Pelodiscus sinensis: one gene and its partner. The protein of the gene in region 2 purifies or fractionates together with the protein of the main gene of each other region. This does not show direct contact. Links are inferred from orthologs where the notes say so. Each region holds a gene or a part of one and is shown on either strand. Other genes may lie near its edges. The genes, in order: protein argonaute-1 and DICER1.

Region 1 (10,390 bases), on a different chromosome or scaffold from region 2:
GCCACTCAGCTGCGCAGGCCAGAGCATCCCCAGCCATGGAGGGGCTGGCTGGCCCGCTGTGGCAGAGTCAGGCAGCGGATTGGGTAGCAGGCCCTATAATATTCCTATCCTTGTCAGAATGCTAATAAATCAGTGTGAAGTATTAGCTTCTAGGTATCAATATACAGAGGAGATATTTCCTCATGACACTAAAAACACCCACGTTATAATTTAGGCTTTGATGTGTTCAAGTTAAATCAGTTTGCTTCAGAATCAAGCCAACTCCAAAGCTCATCAGATTAGTTTCAAAGAGCTTTATAAAAGCCAATGTTCTAGCATCACTACTGATTTTCTTCTCTCCACCCACCGCCCTTTAGACTGTAACGTTTTGTAGGAAATTAAAGCAGCACATTTGAGATTACAATAAAAACATCCAAGGAAGCCATGCTAACGAGAATTAAATGAGCGGCTGCAACAAAAAATGGCAGTTTAAAGGATGTTTGGAGGGCTCTGGCAGGATAGGGTCAGGCAGTTTTAAAATCAAGCAGCCAAGGACAGGACAATACCAGACACATTGTTAGCCAGTCACATTGTTTAACAGGGTGTGCTGGGGAGAAGCAATGATGAGGGCACTAGAATGAATCTCTTTAGCAACAGTCGCTGCCTCCCCTCTCCAGCTGTCAGGCGTGCAAAGGAAGCCCAGACTTTGCGCATGCCCCAAGCACAGAGGCAGAAACCACTTCATTCTGTCACAAGAAAACGGCAGCTACTGACTGTTGTGTCCAAACAAGAGCGCGCCAGCACTCCTGCTCCAGGAGCAAGCCCGATCCGCTGTCTCTTACCCTAACGTCTCTCCTGCACTCATGTGAGGTGAAGGGGACAGACAGAAACAGGAGATTTTGCCTCCACTCTCTAACCTGGAAATAAAAGCCATTTGCTGGGATTTGAGATATAAAAAGAGTCTTTGGAAGTCCAGGACCTTCGAAGCAGGATTCATCTATTCACACCATGCTCCGCAAGGACATGCACCTGCTGCTCAACTCAACAGCCCTTCATCCCGCCCCTTGCAGCTGCCTCTGTTCCCCAGGTCCCCTCCCCCCACTCAGCCTCTTGTAGGAACCTGCTGCCTCCCACCACCATCCTGATGGGGCTTGAGGCTCCATTATGCAGCAGTCCACTTCCTTTGCAACCAGCGCCTTGCACAACCTTGTTCCAGTTGGCAATCCACCCCCAGAAGCCCTCTCTGTTTTGTACAGCACCCGCCCAGCCTTCTTCACTACAGGGCAGCCCAAGCAATAGCTCTCTTTCCATGCTTCCTCTCTCTGGAGCCGTTGGATATTCTGATTTCTTTAAAGAGTCTTCTCCTTTTCACAACCCCACAATGCAAAGCTGCTACCCCATCGCTGCCTCAACAACACATGACACCCGCTCCTATAAATGCTCAACCCCCGAGGTTCCTCCCTTACAACACCCCCACGCTCAATCCTTCGTGCACAACACTCTTCCTTGACACCCCCATCTTCCCACATGACACCCTTCTCCGGCTGCTGAGCCTCCTTCTTACAATACACAGCACTGTACAAACACCAATACAGAGCCTTCTTGGCCACCAACTTCCCAGAACCCCCACCACAATACAGTCTTCCATACAGGAGTGAGTCCCCCTACACTTACAGTGCACCAATACCTCTCTCTCCCCTTCCCTCTCCACTGCTCAGCCCTCCTGGACCCCACCTCACAGACCCCAAACCTACAAACGTACAGCCCCCATCTCTCTCAAATCCCCCCATTGCACATGCCCCGCCGTAATTTATAGCCTTCCTTCCCCACTGCACAGTCCTCCTGGAGCTCACACTGCAGACCGCCTGCCCCATACTGCATCAACAGCTCCTCCACCCCTCTGCACAGCCTCTCGCCCCGACTACAGCCCCTAGGTACACACTGCACCAACTCCCCTTCTTCTTTCACACCATCACTGTATAGCCCAGACATCCACAATACCAAGTCTCCTGTCCTCCCCTACACAGGACCTCCCCCCCCCACTTCTCTTCATTTCAACCCCAGACCACCATACTGCACACATTCCCCTTCTCCTTTTGTAACCCCACAGACCCCCATCCCAATATTGCACCAATTTCCTTCTTTTCTTTTGTGCAGCCTCTCCCCCATCCCCATACTGAACTTCCCATTTCACAATCCCCCCAGTGCACCACATGCCTTTCCCAGTGTACCATGTGCACAGTTCCTCCCCCATCACATTGTACCAGCTCGCCTGCCCAGAGCACCCCACTGCACAGTCCCATCACCCCACTTAAGCCCCAATGCAGCCCCTTACAGCCCACCTTGCTCAACTCTCTTGCACACCACTGCACAGGCCCATCACACCACTGCAGCCACTTTGCAACCCACTGCACAGCCACATCATCCCAATGCAATCGCTTTGTACACCACTGCACAGCCCCACCATACCCAGTTCAGGTCCACTGCACAGCCCTCCTTTACACAACTCTATCACCCCACTTCAGCCCCAGTGCAGCCCCCTTGCTCAGATCTCTTGCCCCCTTGAGCCCCACTACACAACCACATCACTCCACTGCAGCCCCTTTGTACCCCTCTGTGCAGCCCCATCACCCCACTGCACAGTCCCCTTGCTCCTTGGACCCAACTGCAGCTCCTTTGTATACCCACTTCAGCCCCACTGCACAGCCCCCCTTGCTCAGCTCTCTTGCAACCCACTGCACAGTCCCCTTGCTCAGCTCCCCTGCCCCCTTACATCCCACTGCAACCCCATCACCCCACTGCACAGCCCCATCATCCTAGTGCACAGCCCTCTTGCCCCCCACTGCAGCCCCTTTGCATCCCACTGTATAGCCCCCCCTTTGCTCAGCTCTCTTACGCCCTGACAGCCCCATTACCCACTGCTCAGCCCCCTTGCCCCTCACTACAGCCCCTTTGCAACCCACTGCACAGCCCCCCCTGCTCAGCCCCCTTGCGCCCCACTGCACAGCCCCATCACCCCACTGCACAGCCCCCTTGCCCCTCACTGCAGCCCCTTTGCATCCCACTGCACAGCCCCCTTGCACCTCACTGCACAGCCCCTTTGCATCCCACTGCACAGCCCCCCCGCTCAGCCCCCTTATGCCCCACTGCACAGCCCCATCACCCCACTGCACAGCCCCCTTGCACCTCACTGCAGCCCCTTTGCATCCCACTGCACAGCCCCCTTGTGCCCCACTGCAGCCCCTTTGCATCCCACTGCACAGCCCCCCCGCTCAGCCCCCTTGCGCCCCACTGCACAGCCCCATCACCCCACTGCACAGCCCCCTTGTGCCCCACTGCAGCCCCTTTGCATCCCACTGCACAGCCCCCCCGCTCAGCCCCCTTGCGCCCCACTGCACAGCCCCCTTGCACCTCACTGCAGCCCCTTTGCATCCCACTGCACAGCCCCCCCGCTCAGCCCCCTTGCGCCCCACTGCACAGCCCCATCACCCCACTGCACAGCCCCCTTGCACCTCACTGCAGCCCCTTTGCAACCCACTGCACAGCCCCCCCGCTCAGCCCCCTTGCGCCCCACTGCACAGCCCCATCACCCCACTGCACAGCCCCCTTGCCCCTCACTGCAGCCCCTTTGCATCCCACTGCACAGCCCCCTTGTGCCCCACTGCAGCCCCTTTGCATCCCACTGCACAGCCCCCCCGCTCAGCCCCCTTGCGCCCCACTGCACAGCCCCATCACCCCACTGCACAGCCCCCTTGTGCCCCACTGCAGCCCCTTTGCATCCCACTGCACAGCCCCCCCGCTCAGCCCCCTTGCGCCCCACTGCACAGCCCCCTTGCACCTCACTGCAGCCCCTTTGCATCCCACTGCACAGCCCCCCCGCTCAGCCCCCTTGCGCCCCACTGCACAGCCCCATCACCCCACTGCACAGCCCCCTTGCACCTCACTGCAGCCCCTTTGCAACCCACTGCACAGCCCCCCCGCTCAGCCCCCTTGCGCCCCACTGCACAGCCCCATCACCCCACTGCACAGCCCCCTTGCCCCTCACTGCAGCCCCTTTGCAACCCACTGCACAGCCCCCCCGCTCAGCCCCCTTGCGCCCCACTGCACAGCCCCATCACCCCACTGCACAGCCCCCTTGTGCCCCACTGCAGCCCCTTTGCATCCCACTGCACAGCCCCCCCTTGCTCAGCCCGCAGAGCCCAGTCCCCGCTCCGCTACCTGCTCCCGAGGGTCCTGCTTCCATCCCATCCACGCGGGCACGGCTCCGGGCTGGGCTCACCGCGGGGGGGGGGGGGGGGCCGGGCGCTGCTCCCTCCGCCTCCCGCTGCTGCTGCTGCTGCGGCCGCCGCAGCCTCTGGGCAGCCTCCTCCCCGCCTGGGCCCCAGTGCGCAGGCGCGGCCGCCGGGCCAACCAGCGCCGACGCGAGCGCCCGGCCCCAGCGCCAACAAAGGCGGCGGGGCGGGGACAGCGCCCCCTGGCGGGGCGGCAGCCCTCCGAGGGCCTGGAGAGCGGATGCAGAGCGCCGCCATCTTGGATCCAGAGCGAGACTGGGCAGTTGTCCTGGAGGGGATGATGGGGGGTGGGGCAAAGGGAGTGGGTGCTGGCTGTGCATTGGGGGGGGGCGCTCTTGTGCAATGGGGGGGGGGCTAAGGGAGGAATTGCTGGCTGTGCAATGGGGGGCTAAGAGGAGGTGCTCTTGTGCAATGGGGGGGCTAAGGGAGGAAATGCTGGCTGTGCAATGGGGGGGCTAAGAGGAGGTGCTCTTGTGCAAAGGGGGGCTAAGGGAGGAAATGCTGCCTGTGCAATGGGGGCTAAGAGGAGGTGCTCTTGTGCAAAGGGGGGCTAAGGGAGGAAATGCTGCCTGTGCAATGGGGGGCTAAGAGGAGGTGCTCTTGTGCAAAGGGGGGCTAAGGGAGGAAATGCTGGCTTTGCAGTGGGGGCTAAGAGGGAATGCTGTTGTGCAATGGGGGGCTAGAGGAAGGAGTGCTGGGGTGCAGTGGGTGGTTGGGGGAGGGCTGCGCAGTTGGGGTGCAGGAGCACTGCTGCCTGTGCAATGGGAAAGGAGAGGAGAGTGGGACCTGGCCCGGGCAAGATTGTTGGCTGTACAGTTGTCAGGGGGTGGTGGTACAATGGGCAGATGGGCTTGGGGCGGGAGGAGAATTGTGCAAGGAGATGAGGTGAGATGGTGAACCTGGCAGGAGTGGGTGCCTGTTGCAAAAAGGGAGGAGAAAGATGCAGTCCTTCCCTACGATGGAAGTGTGACCTAGGGCAAAGGATGGAGACTCGCCTTGGTAGGAGGAGGAACTGAAACCCAGCACTGTGAGGGAAGCGTTTGGAAATGAAGGGAACAGAGTGGCAATAGTACGGGCATTGGTGGTGGCAGTGGCACAGATTGGTTTGTTCGCATCAAAAGAAGTTGAGAACATGGAGGAAGCATGGCAGGGCTGGCACAGTGCCAGCTCTCCTCATGCAATTTACTCACACACCAGGAATCAAGAATGTATCCAGTGCCACAAGAACAATGAGGCTGATCGGTTCCTTTGAAGTGCAAAATGCCCTCTTCCGAAGCGAATTTGACCCTTTAGATTTGGCCCTTAAATTATATTTGGGTAAAAAAAGCTTTTATAAAACTCAAGCCCAATAAATATGTTTCCACAATTCGGTTTTAATGCCAATAAAATAGCAATGGGGAGCTAAGAGAGGGGGTGCTGGCTGTGCAAGAGGCATTCTTCTGCAGTGTCAACACTCTTGGCATGGCAGTACTGTGAGCCTGAAAGTGAAACTGATCATAAGCCATGAAATTGACTTCATAGTCCAACCACAGAAGAAAGCAGGAAGTTAAACAAAGAGCATAAACCCTGACAAGGCAATTGGATTTTCAAAATCCTTCCAATTTTATTTAGGGATGTAAAATCCCATTTAAAAAGTTAACCAGCTAAACATTAAGTTTAACCTGATTACTGGGATCCCACAGACAGGGGGCCCACTGCGCTGCAGGCTGCTCTGGTCAAGTAAGATGCTGTGCTGCAGGCAGGGGTTGCTCAGGTCGGGCCCAGCTGCCAGTTAACCACTTCCCCAGTAAGCATCAGGGTGATGGCAAGTTAACCAATTAACCCTTTACATACCTACTTTTATTAATCTAGTATGGTTATACCTTGAGTGCTGATCCTTATGTATGTGCTGAACATAGGCTATTCCCATGGATAACCTAATGTGTCCAAGTGTTTGCAGGATCAGAGCCATAGCTAAAGAAATGTTTACCACCTAAGATTTAAGTTGTCAGTATCCTTTTAACACTCAGATAAATGTGCAAATTCCACATACACCAATTGCCATTTAGCTTGAGAATGAGGTAGAGAAACAGCTCAAAAGGTCGCCTCTGCCTCTCCTCCTCTGCAAACCCTGCCTGTCTGAAAACCACCACATACTGAGTCTTCAAGCAGTAGGGGTGCTCATGATTATCTTTGCTCTAGTGGGAAGGCCAAATTCAATACAAAACAGAATAAAAATGGAACTAAGGTAGATGCAACACAGTGAATCTAGAAGGATGTGAAAGAACTTTACAGTAACATAAGAACATAAGAACGGCCGTACTGGGTCAGACCAAAGGTCCATCTAGCCCAGTATCCTGTTTACCGACAGTGGCCAGCACCAGGTACCTCAGAGAGGGTTGACCGAAGACAATGATCAAGCGATTTGTCTCCTGCCATCCCTCTCCAGCCTCTGACAAACAGAGGCCAAGGACACCATTTTATCCCCTGGCTAATAGCCTTTTATGGACCTAACCTCCATGAATTTATCCAGCTTCTCTTTAAACTCTATTATAGTCCTAGCCTTCACCACCTCCTCTGGCAAGGAGTTCCACAGGTTGACAACACGCTGTGTGAAGAAGAACTTCCTTTTATTCGTTTTAAACCTGCTACCCATTAATTTCATTTGGTGTCCTCTAGTTCTTCTATTATGGGAACTAATAAATAACTTTTCTTTATCAGCCCTCTCCACACCACTCATGATTTTATAGACCGCTATCATATCCCCCCTCAGTCTCCTCTTTTCTAAACTGAAAAGTCCCAGTCTCTTTAGCCTCTCCTCTTAACTTTGCATAATATATAAAGGTTGTTCTAAGGAATTCAGATAAGCACTTTCCTTAGACTCTCTGTACCTTTCATCAGAGCATCATCCAATAAAAAATAAATGTTTTAACAACTAAGTTATCCCTGGCTGAGCCAGATTGGAACACTTTAGATTTCCTAGTAGGTTCATGGGGAGACACATGGCAGGGTATTTTTGGAGAGTCATTGTTCTGTGCCAGGCGAATGAGTAAACAGTAGGGGACGATTGAATTTATTAGCACTTTTATTGTTTTAAGTTTGATTCTTTATGCAACTTGTTGGCAGATGGGAAGGAGAAATTGGTGTATTTGACATTAGGGGTGTTTGGTAGTGCTGTGTTAGAAGCACCCCCTTGTGGTTATGGGTAATGTGTAAAGACAGCTACACAAAGAAAAGATCCACAGCATTACAATGCCTTGGAAGGGAAATGGGATCTAGGAATATAGGGGTCAGTGAAAGTGTTTGGTTTAGCTGTACACTAGGGCACCCACCTTACCCCATTCCTATGGCCCAGGGCGTAACCTACCGGGTTGTTGGGTCCTTTACTAGTGAAAGAGCCTTACACATATATCTGTAACCTCTATTTATTAAACAATCCCCAAGACAGAATGCCCACGCCGAACATACAACGCACACCACTCCCAATAAGCCAGATGAACTTTTCCTGCTGGACATCCAGGATCCTGTCATCCAGTGACTGCAGCTTCTGCACAACAGAGTGGGCACAGGTTTGAGGTCTGGCAGCTCTGATCTTTGGCTGTGTCCTGGGGTTGGTTCCAATGAACTTCCTTTTGGAAATTCCATCCCTGCTATTATTGACATACTCACTCTGCAGGGAATGTGACTTGTGTGGGTGACACTGAAATGGGGGTTTTTCCCCCTAGACAGCTGAATCATCCCTCAATACCAAGGATCAGAATCTTTCACCGGGGCCATAACATTATTGCCTTAGCATTTATATTGCTGTAATGCCAGGCATCTCTCTGAAAGCATATTCCAGGAAGCCATGTGTGACTAAAAAAAGTAACCTTCACATCCCAGTTTTCTTTCACACTCAGTTCTCAGATTAACAGTGTAATGAGCAGAAGCTAATTGAATTGAAAATGCCATTGCAGAGCAAGGAACTGGGCAGCAGGACTCCTGGATTCCATTCTTGGCTCTACCAATGACTTACCACGAAATACACCTTTGTGTCTCGGTTTCACCCTCTCTGGAACCTGTTCCTTAATACTCAGGGTATGTCTACACTACAGAGTTTTGTTGGGAAAATGGCTGTTTTTCCAACAAAATCTGAGTTACATCCACACTGCAATCGCATTCTTCTGAAAGTAAATCAAAAGAACAGAGGGGTTTTTCTGGCGTTGGTAAATCTCTTTCTACAAGGAAGAAGCCTCTTTCCGAAAAGAACTCTTTCGGAAAGAGGTGGGTGTGGACGGGGAAGAAGGAGTTCTTTTGCAAGAAGAGGAAAGAGGAAAAAGCACAGGTGCCCTGGTGGCCACTCCATTCATAGTAATCACAGCTTAAATGCAAGAGAGTGTCCATTCAGTGTGGACACTATCTTTTGAAAAAGGAGATCGCTTTTTCAATGTGCTTTTATGTGTGGATGCTGTCTTTTGGAAGAAGTTTTTTTGGAAGGTCTGCTTTCATTTATGCTTAAACCTTGGGGCTCCTCCTAGAACAAAGGAGATTGACTGTGGCGTCATTCTAACCCTACTTATCATTAACCTTCCCATAGGAGGCTGGAGCAGAGGCACTGACAATAGTTAACTGTACATGCCAAATTAATGTAAATTACATGATCATGAGGGTGCCATTTGATTATATAAGCAGCGCTTTAAGTATTAGGGTTGTTAAAATGCATTAATTTTGATAAATGCATCCCCGCTGAAATTTTCAGTGGATACACATTTATATGCAAGGGGAAAGAGATGCAGCTCCACAGGAGCTGGTACATGCGGGGAGCCAGCTTTTAAGCCAGCTTCCTGTGTGTACCAGCTCCTGCGGAGCCACCTGCCTCCATTGAGGAGGCTGGGGGGGAAGAGGCAGCAGCGCAGCATGGGGGCAGGCAGGTGGCTCCGCTGGTGTTGGTGTTTGCAGGGAGCCTGCTTAAAAGCCAGCTCTTCACAAGCACCTCCCCCCTCCCCATGCCACTGCACGTAACAGTTAAACGTTTACACTATCACATCCTTAATATATATATAACAGTTGACCCTCTGCTAAATCCTAAAACTGGCATCCAGTGTCCCTTGAGAGGATTCTAGTGCTGGTAGATCCAGTTTTCTGAAGATGCACCATTATCTTCTTGTTGTGGCACTTCCTGGATTTATTATTCAACAGCAGTGAAAAAACTGTAGCCTAAATAAAAGACAAAGTCAGTAACCACGATAAGACAGCAACCGTGACGGGGGTTAATAATGACCGACCCAAATAATTTTTGTTTGGCTGTTGCAATACAACTAGTGGGTCACCTGCAGATGTTTCATTTATTTTGGGGTGTCCACAAAAGGACAGCAAATTGAGGGCAAGACCGTTAGTATTAAATGGTAAGACAGAAAGAAGGGCAAGAAACAATGGAAGTAGACACAGCTCGCGGGAACCTACCAAGCAGATGCAGACTTAATATTGACAGCGAAGGAAGAGGTTCATTTCCTCTGAAGGGTAATCGTGCCAGACAGAGCTGCCTTTGCCACGGGCAGTGGTGACATCAGCATCATTGGCAGGAAGGGTTCAGTTAACTAGACATGCTGTCAAGTCTGCTCTGTGTCATTGGATTTCTCCAGCACCCTCTCTGCTTCCTATTTCCATCAATCCTACCTACGCAGACCCAGGGAATGCAGAAGGGGGTCTGCTGGAATTCTCTGCACATTTGGGACGCTGGCATCTCACAAACCTGCTGCTACTCACATGACAAGAGCTGGGCTCTAAATTCTAACTTCAGGACAGACGTAAAATCCATTATGGAACAGAACCAGCCACAGGACAGAGGCCAAGATCCTAAAAGACATTTAGACGCCAATCTCCCCCTCCCCCCCCAAAAAAACAAAACACCCCACACTGGTAGTTCAGTACCTCAATTCCTTGGTAAATCTAGGCCCTTGTATTTACAAAGCATTCGACCACAATCAGGGTACCTCCTGTGCTCCAAAGAGCACACATTTACCTGGACGCACTGCTTCCTCTCAGTGCAATGCCAGGCATTACCATGACCAGTTTAGTAACAGGACAATACTTAGGCTCTAGTGTAGCCATAGCCTAAGTCAACCGCAGTTATGTTACTCAGGGTATAAATTAGCCATCCC
Region 2 (9,480 bases):
TCCCCAGGGATGGGGCCAGCAGCTAGTGCACTCTGTTCTCCCTCCCAAGGAGTCCCCCTGCCACTCTGCGCTGCTGCCTCTGTATCAGCCTGCTGATATGGAGGCAGCAGTGTAGAGGTGGCAGCAGTTCCATTCCAGGGAGGGTCTGAGTCCCAGACTGCATGGGAGCCAGAACTGAGCTGGGATTCCTGCTCACCTGGCTCCTAATACACTTTAAATGCAGAGCCACAGTGGTGGTATGTCCCAGACCCAACAAAAGCCAGGACTGAGCAAAGCTGCTGGCTACCCTGCTAAAAATATGTACTGGCCTGGGGAGGGGGGATGCGTGTAGTCTATAGCATTAATCGATAAGCTTTTGCTTATCAGTTACTTGACTACACTATTACATCCCCTAGTGAGGATGGGCTCAGGCCAGGAGGTGGGGGACGTATAGGAACTGTGCAGGGCAGGGAACTGTGCGTGTATATATACACACAGGGTGTGTCTAGATTGCATCCCTCTGGCAGCAGAGAGATGCAGATTAGGCAGGTCGACATTGCAAATGAAGCAGGGATTTAAATATCCCGTGCCTAATTTGCATAAAAATGGCCACCATGTTTTGCCAACTTAGCACTTTGTCAGCAAGAAGTGGCACTCTAGAGGGGGATCTGTCGAGAAAGAAAGCCTTTTTCGACAGATCCCGTAAACCTCCTTGCAGGAGGCATAAGGGATCTGTCGAAAAAGGCTTTCTTTCTCGACAGATCCCCCTCCAAACTGCCGCTTTTTGCCGACAAAGTGCTGATTCGGCAAAATGTGGTAGCCACTTTTATGCAAATTAGGCACAGGATACAGGCAGTCCCCGGGTTACGTACAAGATAGGGACTATAGGTTTGTTCTTAAGTTGAATTTGCATGTAAGTCAGAACTGGCTCCAGATTCAGCTGCTGCCGCTGAAACTGACCAGGGGCTGACTACAGTAAGCCGGAGGCAGAGTTGCTCTGCCCCAGCTTCCTGGAATCAGCCTGATCAGTTTCAACAGCTGCTGAATCTGGAGCCTGGGACAGAACAGCTGGGGCGCTGCCCGGTAGGTTCCCACAGGACCAACCCGGCAGCACCCCAGCTGCTCTACCCGAGGCATCCCGCAACAAAAACCTGGTCTGCTGGGTGGGGAGCGCACCCCTGTCTCCCTGGGGTGCTAGGGGGAGTCCCTCCCAGCACACCAGGGAGACCCGAGCAAAGCCGCACAGGCGGAGGGGACCCCTCCGCCCGTGTGGCTTTGCTCCTGTCTCCCTGGTCTGCTGGAGAGGTCCAGCAAAGCCGCTGGACCCCCCCCAGCAGACCAGGGACACCCGAGCAAAACCGCCACCTGGGCAGCTTTGCTCCTGTCCCCCTGGTCTGCTGGGGGGGGAGGGGGGTCCAGCGGCTTTGCTGGACCCTCCCAGCAGACCAGGGAGACCGGGAGAAGCTTTTCTCACCCCAGAGGACACGGGTGGCGACCCGCCGCCCGTGAGCTCCGGGGCGAGAAAAGCCCCGTTCGTAAGTGCGGATCCGACATAAGTCAGATCCGCGTAAGTCGGGGACTGCCTGTATTTAAATCCCTGCCTCATTTGCAATGTCAACCTGCCTAATCTGCATCCCTCTGACAGAGGATGCAGTCTAGACATACCCACACACAGAAAAGGGGCAAAGCCAGCCTCCCCTTCTTCCCCAATTCATACCAGAGCTGCTTGCTCTTCCTTTTTCTGTCCCTGTCAGAGAGTGAGAGCAAAGTCCACAGCTTAGCTTGCCTGTCCCTCCAGCACTACCCATGAGTGAGAAATACAGCAAACTGTGAATTTTCATCTTGTTTCCTGATGAAGGGGAAAGGCCAGCAATATCCCTGTACTAACTGGTGGGGGCATCTGGGGGCAGGAGGCTCAGGGTTGGAGCAATCCTACATGGGAGGGGAGGAATTCAGGAGGATTGCTGATTGCTGCCAGCCAGCACTTTTCACCTGTGTGGTGATTCTGTCTCTTTTCTATATGGCTTTATGAGAAGCAATCCCAGTCCAGGCACAACAAAGCCTTACATTGCTTTAAGTTATAATAAAGAGGAAGCTGTATACTGAATTTGATTGCCCTTCTAGCTCTTATCATTTAGGAGGAGTTCTTGAACAAACAGACTAACTCTCAATAGTAGATGACCTGACCCTGATTTTTACCAAAAAATATCCATTACACAATTGTAGCCATAACCACTATCTACTTGTATTAAAAGGGTAGGAACAGGAGAAATACACCACTATTTTCTAGGTGAGCTGCTTAGGACTAAAAAGGAGCATTTTAATATTTTTCATTAAATACTACAGATTGTGACCCCACAAGATATGAGCTAGCATGGAAAGGCCTTCCCTTTAGAAAAATATTAAGATACATGGGGATTGAGTTTGTACCTATATCAAACCATTAAAAGACCAGAGTTGTTAAAAATATATATGCAACTCTGCTTCTGTATATAGCACTTCACAAATAAAAGAATGAACCTCCCAATGAATTTACAGTCTAAACAAGACACAGGACAACAGGAGAAGAATAAGCATTACTAAACACACACTGATTAGTTAACTAAAGATATACATCAAAGTGTTTTCACATGAGATCTCTAGATTTGTAAACTAAATAGGCAGGCTCTCCCTTTCTCACTAGTGGAATTCATGGCCATCTTGCTTAAGCAATCATTTGCTGCTTAAAAAACAGAACTGATAATATTAAGGCTACGTCTACACTGGCATGATTTAGCGCAAATACTTTTATTGGGGAAAAACTCTTCCGTTAAAAGTATTTGCACAAGAGAGCATCTACACTGACATGAGCTTTTGTGCAAAAGCATCCGTGCCAGTGTAGACGCTCTCTTGTGCAAGAAAGCTCCAATGGCTATTTTAGCCATCGGGCTTTCTTGCGCAAGAAATTAACATTGCCTGAGCAGAAACGTCAGAGTATTTGTGCAAGAAGCCCTGATTTTGTACATTACAACATCAGTGTTCTTGTGCAAATACTCGTGGCCAGTGTAGACAGGCAGCAAGATTTTGCACAAAAGCGGCCACTTTTGTGCAAAATCTTGCCAATGTAGACACAGCCCAAGTGTATAGGATGTTCTAAGTTTTCAGTGGCCAAGACTTAACCCCATCAACAAGCTATCTTCTCCCAAAGGCCTGTTATCTCAGGAACAAAATCAATACACAAAGAAATGCAAGAGTTTGTTTCAGGTTTGTATCAATATATGACCCACTTTTTTTCCCCTATTGCAGCACTTTCTTTTCTATAGCATGGAGCACAACGTAAATGCTTTAATGTGCCACTTGGACTTTGCAATATTTTTCATACAGGTTATGGGGGAGGATCTTGTAATGTTCTCACTGTATATTTACGGCATGCAGTGCCCCCGCTAGTTTCAGCTAGGGGAGGTGGTGAAGGAGAGAGAGAAGCGATCCTTAAAAACTCTCCAGGAGTAACATTTATCAGTTAGAACTACACCCCTCCACACCCGCATCAAAAGCCCTTCACCCCTTTAATAACGGGTCTCTCATTGGCGCTGGGGAAGCAACTCCCGGGAATCCCAGCTGTGGTCTGAGGGAGGCAGGGATGCGTGGGGACGGGGCTCCTCAGCAGGCCCGGGGAGAGAGAGAAGACAAAGCCAGCGAGAAGGGCTGAGACGCAGGCCCCCGTCGGAGACCCTTCGCCTTGGGCGCCGCTGAGCCGGGTCCATGGGCATGGCGGCAACGGGGGTGGCTAGGCCCCGGCAGGCAGGGCCAGGCGGGGGCTGCGCACAGGTGAACCAGGCCTTGGGAGCGAGGGGAGGCTCAGCCGGGCGCCAAAGGGGCCGAGCCGCGCACATGTCCAGAGCGGGCGGTGGCACAAGCTGCCCGGCCCCGCCGCTGGGTGCCCGGCCCCGCCATGAAGCCACCGGCCCAGGCACACGCCAGAGCCGCCCGCCGCCTCCTACCTGCCGAGCTGGACCCAGACCAGCGCTTCCCCGCTACAGGCCGCGTCTCATTGTGCTGCTCCCGCCGCCATTTCCCCGCCGCGGCCTCACTCCCCCCAGCTGTCAGGTTCCTCCATTCACCTGGGCCCGGGACAGCCTCCTACCCTCCCTTCCCCGTGCGAGGCCGGCCCTACGCAAACAGAGCACCACCCCGCGCCCTCCACCCACCACCACAGGACCGCCCAACGCAAGCAGCGTACAGCCGCTCTGAGAATGCCAACCCCCACAGCTCACACCCTCCACTCTCCCCAGCCCATGAGAGGAGTGAGGCGATTGGAGTAAAAAGGGGGTCAGAGGTCAAGGGTTTACAGGATGGCCAATCAGCTGACAGGAGACAGCAAACGCTTGGGACGGCAGGAGCCTTCCACGGACTCACGTGTGTTGCTTCGTCCTCTCTATTCCCTGCTGAACCCTGCGTGGCGCGCCCCGGGGCGATGGTGTCGCACGCAGGCGCCCTCGCTCCGCACAGGCGGGAGATACCGCACGCAGACGCCTCTTCCGGCGGGGGGCGAGTTTCAGGAGCCGATTCCCCGCTCACCTCCCAGCTCAGGTGGCGGAGGGGGAGGATACCCAGCTCTAGGGTTGCCAACTTTCTATTGGTGCCCCCAACATCCTGGCTCCGCCTTTCGCCCGCGGCCCCGCCTCCCCCCACAAGCCCCCCCCTCCCTCCTTTCGCGGGGCGGGGGCGGGAGATGCTGAGGGCACCAGCTGGGCTCTGGAGTGGGGAAAGGGATGAAGGGTTTGCTGTGCAGTAGGGAGCGCCAGGCTGAGGGGTGGGCCTGAGGGATTCAAGATGCAGGAGGGAGTAAGGGTTTTAGGGTGGGGCAAGAGGCAGAAGTGCAGGTGATGAAGGCTTTGGGGTGGGGCTGGGGGTGAAGGGGTGCAGAGGCGGCCTCAGGGAGGGGGTAGGGGTAGGAGCTTGTGCTGGAACATGAGAACAGCCATACTGGGTCAGAACAAGGCTCCATCTAGCCCAATATGCTGTTTTCCAATAGTGGCCAATGACAGGTGCTCTAGAGGGAATGAACAGAACGGGTAATCTTCAAATGATCAAATTTAAAACACCTAGATAAATTCATGGAGATTACCATCAATGGCTAGGATGGATAGGAATGGTGTCCCTAGCCTCTGTTTGTGAGAGGCTGGAAATGGGTGACAGGAGAGAGATCACTTGACAATTACCTGTTGTGTTCCCTCCCTCTGGGTCAGCAAACCACCAGACTAACAATTATGCCAAGTTTTTTGTAGGCATCACAGCAAATTAGAGTTTTTAGGAAGGATTTGAAGGAGGATGAAATAGTTCTATGGTGTTAATGATTCTCTACTCAACATACAATTCAGTTCAAAATCTGTATCCCAGTTTAAAACTCCCCATGGAATTGGCCCTACCTACTTGAGGGAGGAGTTCTTTCTCCAACTCTGATCTCTCACAAAAGGCCTGGTCCACACAAGTTTTTTTGGCATAACTTTGTTGGCCAGGAGCATGAAGAAAACTCACACACTCCAACCAACATTGCTGTGCCAGCAAAAGCCTACATATGGATGCAGGTATGTGCCAAGACAACACTGAGCCTGCTTCTCCTGACAGCCTGGGCACCCTGGAGCCCTGTCTTGTTGAGCCTACCTCTCCAGCTTGCGTCAAACAAAACACAAGGATAAGGCCACACCATGAAGGCTGCAGATACACCTGAAAGCAGCACAGAGTGAGTCCTTTTCCCAGAAGTCAAGTAAACATCTCCTCTGGGAGCTAATCCTAGAAAAATCTGATTTATGTTGTATAGATAGCTATACAGTACAAGCTCATGAAAATGCCTCTCTTTGGGTTTGTCTACACTGCATGGCTATTTTGGGATACCACAAGTATCCCAAAATAGCTATCCTGCATCTACATAAGCCATCTGTTATTTCAAAATATTTTTAACAGGTGTGCTATTTCACCATCCTGATCAACCTAATTGAACAAGGGATAAAGGATGGCTTGAAATAGCATGTTATTTTGAAATTTGGTGCTGTGTAGACGTGCCAAATATCGAAATAAAGTCTTTCAAAATAGATTTGAGATAAGATACGCAATTTGCATAGTGCAAATTGCGTATCTTATTTTGAGTTTAAGGTGCTGTGTAGACACACCCTTTCTCAATGTAAAAAGAGATATGCACATACTCCTCGCCCCTGGGTAACAATTATTTATATATGCTATTCTAGCATCAGATCACAGGTGTTTCAGAGCCAGTAGTCATTTCTTACAGGCTGATCCTTATGCTTAGAAGAAAAGCAAGGTCTCCCACAGTTCATAGTCTCTTACTAACAGGCCATTAGGTCTGTGTTTGGCTTCTTCTTAATTGTTGTACTTGGCTGTAACAGGCTTTTCCCAACGTGAACACACTGATAATAAATTTACAGTCAATATTCCTAAGTTCTGATACAGAAGAGATACCCTGCATATGAATAGGCTAAATATATTCAATAAATCCAAACCTTCCCAATGATTTCAGAGGGGTAGCCGAGTTAGTCTGTAACTGGAAAAACTTAAAAAACAACGAATAGTCTAGCAGCACTTTAAAGACTAACAAAACATGTAGATGGTATCATGAGCTTTTGTGGATACAACCAATGATATCTCTCATAAAGTATCTTGAATAAAGCTTATTCCAGTTATGTCATATTCATCAGCATTTCCCCCTCATAAAGAATGTGGAATGCCTGTCATAGCACCTATGAACTTTGGGGAAGTGGATTAATTATGCCAGCACATTAGTCAGTATAAGTTACATCTCCACTAGGGAGCTTTGGTGGTATAGCTCTAATTGGATAGCTATGCTGTTAAGGCATTTGCACTGAGACAAGCTCAGAGTTACTTTAAGAGGAGGCCTTTGAGCAGGGGTGACAGAACTAGCACAACACTTGGATTTAGACTATGGAATTCACTCTGATGTGAAATGAGCTCTCCCACACTTTAAGAACTAAATGTAACACTTTTTTTTCCTACTTGATTTTTTCCTCCGTAAGTTCTTCACTCATCCATTTGTGTATACACAAACAAAACCTCTTTAAGTAAGCAGACTATTTCTCCTACAGGCTGGTCAGGGAGAAAGAGAACTAATATTATTTCCTTTTTAAAAACATGGATGGTACTCACACACCATAGTGGTGAGGGGCATGTAGATACATAATTATGTGAAAGTCATAGATAAGTGTGCTAGAATATGGTCTATTTGTAGCAAAATAGTAGTGGTTAGATCCTATGGTGGCCTTGTTCCATTCCCTCTACCCCTGTTTCAGCTTGCTAAGTGTATAGAGATGCAACAACCAGCTGAGTATACAGTTGTTCTTGTGTTGAAGATTCCTTGGGTAGCATAAAGACATGTCACTGGCTCCATACTACTCACTTTTGGCATCCTCCCTGGTATAGTGGTTGGGTTCGGATGCTGTACTTGAAGATCCTGAACCAGCCAAACAATGCCTAGGGGACCTTTGCAACTTGTGCCAGGAGCTAAAGCAGCTTCCTGTTGTCCAGTCAAGAAATAAGGGAGCAGAAAGGTGGGGGTAAAAGCAACTTGTGGCCAACCATCCTCCTGCCCAGATGTGCCAAGCAGTTGTAGCTGAGAATCTAGTCATGGGAATCCTGACTAATTTGTTCTATCCCAGCTCTACCAGTAATTTGCTATGGCCTTGCATGACTTAATCTCTCTAGGCCTCAGTGACTTCATCTACCAAATGGGTATGACAATACTCATCTACATAACTGGAGCATTGTGAGGCATATTTAATATAATATTTGTAAAGGGCTTTGAGAACTTGAAATTAAAGGTACTATGGGCTGCAAAATGTTTTATCACCTGTGTCACATGGGTGAACCCCTGACTGACACTGAGTGCACTGTCTCCATTATTAAACAATACAAAATAACTAGGTATTTTTAGTTCATACAAGGTGCAGCCTTCTACTTCACATAGTTGGATGTATAATAATATCCACTGACAGAACAGCTGTTCAGTCCTATACAGCAGGAGTTGTCACAACACATGGGTCTATTTCTCCACTTATGTTTGGAGCAATGAAGATAACGCATTTGTAATAATTTTTGAAGTAGCAGAAATGATAAACAATCCTTACAAATGCTTTCTAGGCCACCATTAAAGAGATTATTTGTTTCTGGCAAACTAAAAGGCAAGCTGGGGGGGACTAAAGATCTAAACTGAAAGCTTATTAAAGGAAAATAATCACAAGGGCCCAGCTTCTCAAGGGTATTTAGGCACCTAACTTGCACTGATTTCAGTGGGTATTTAGGCACCTAAATACTTCTGAAGATCTGAACCAAGAACTCAAAGGAAAACTTCTGAGCACTTTATTTCCACACATTGTTTCCTCAATCATTTCATGTAATAATATAGAAAATGTTCATGCAATGATACAGTAAGGATCTGTGTGCATTTTAGCCTCTTTTATAATCTGATTGGTTTTATTTTGCAAGCACATATTTTAGATTGTGGGCTTTTGTAAATAAAATTGATTTTAAATGTTTATTTCCCCTAACTGTAAATTCATATAATTTCTTCAAATTCCTTAATGCCAGATTTTAATGCCAGGATATGTGATATAGCCTGTGCAATACAGAACACTAAACAAGTACAGCAAACAGGGAATTTCAACTCTCTGAACATCCTGTAACTTGTGCTTTTTAGTATATATTGTTGTTATCGCTCTTATTATCAAATAGGTTGATTAGATTGAATAAGAGAAATAGACGACTAAAATTTTTAACAAAAAACATGCATACACAAAATCGGATTTCCCTGTGCTTTGGCTATTTAGAACCATTGACGTCTTATTCTGGGTGGTAAAGATTGTAAGGCAAAGAGACATTTCTTTTTCTCCATTTCAAAATTCACGCAATTTAGTTGTGATTTTTATTCTGTCAGGGGAAAAAATCCTCATGTGTGTGCTAGAAATACTCAAAATTGTACCTTTTCTCAGTCTGTTCCAGTACTTGGCTTTTCTCACGCAACTGAATTTTAGAATCATGCCAGGAGTATGCTTTTTGGCTCTGCATCTGCTCAATGTTCTACAATGGATCCTCAAAAAGTGATTTTTCTTACCGTAAGACAATGGTGACCTCTGTTGTTCTCTGCTGTTGATACCAACATGCTTTGATATACACTCACAATTCTCTGGTTGGGAAAATAAGATTCATGGATCAAGCAAATTGCTGGGTAGCCGACAACTTTCTATTTTCAGTTCTACCACTGGACTTGCTGTGACTCTTTGGTCAAGTCACTTAGGATCTAATTTTCAGCTGGACTGCAACTGGGCTGTACTCTGACAGCTAAGGGACATGCAGCCATAGTGTGTGAAGTGCACATGAAATGTGCATATTCCTAATTTCTTTGCCAATTTTCTATACTTCTTGAAATTATGATTCTACCTTTCATAATGGCATATCCTCAATCAATGGATCTGCTCCATGTATCTATTCAGAATT

The links.
Region 1: the proteins of DICER1 (region 2) and protein argonaute-1 purify together in Homo sapiens (co-immunoprecipitation; 7 studies listed by BioGRID and IntAct, with this or other methods). This does not show direct contact. The link is inferred for Pelodiscus sinensis from reciprocal best matches to the Homo sapiens genes DICER1 and AGO1.

What each region holds. Positions count from the first base shown.
Region 1 is NC_134735.1:7,520,910-7,531,299, reverse strand, and holds the start of protein argonaute-1, read right to left. Parts: upstream 4,361-10,390; 5' UTR 4,223-4,360; coding exon 4,198-4,222; intron 1-4,197.
Region 2 is NC_134714.1:28,334,650-28,344,129, reverse strand, and holds the start of DICER1 (endoribonuclease Dicer), read right to left. Parts: upstream 4,586-9,480; 5' UTR 4,375-4,585; intron 4,144-4,374; exon of another isoform or gene 3,960-4,143; intron 1-3,959. UniProt on the Homo sapiens protein: Double-stranded RNA (dsRNA) endoribonuclease playing a central role in short dsRNA-mediated post-transcriptional gene silencing.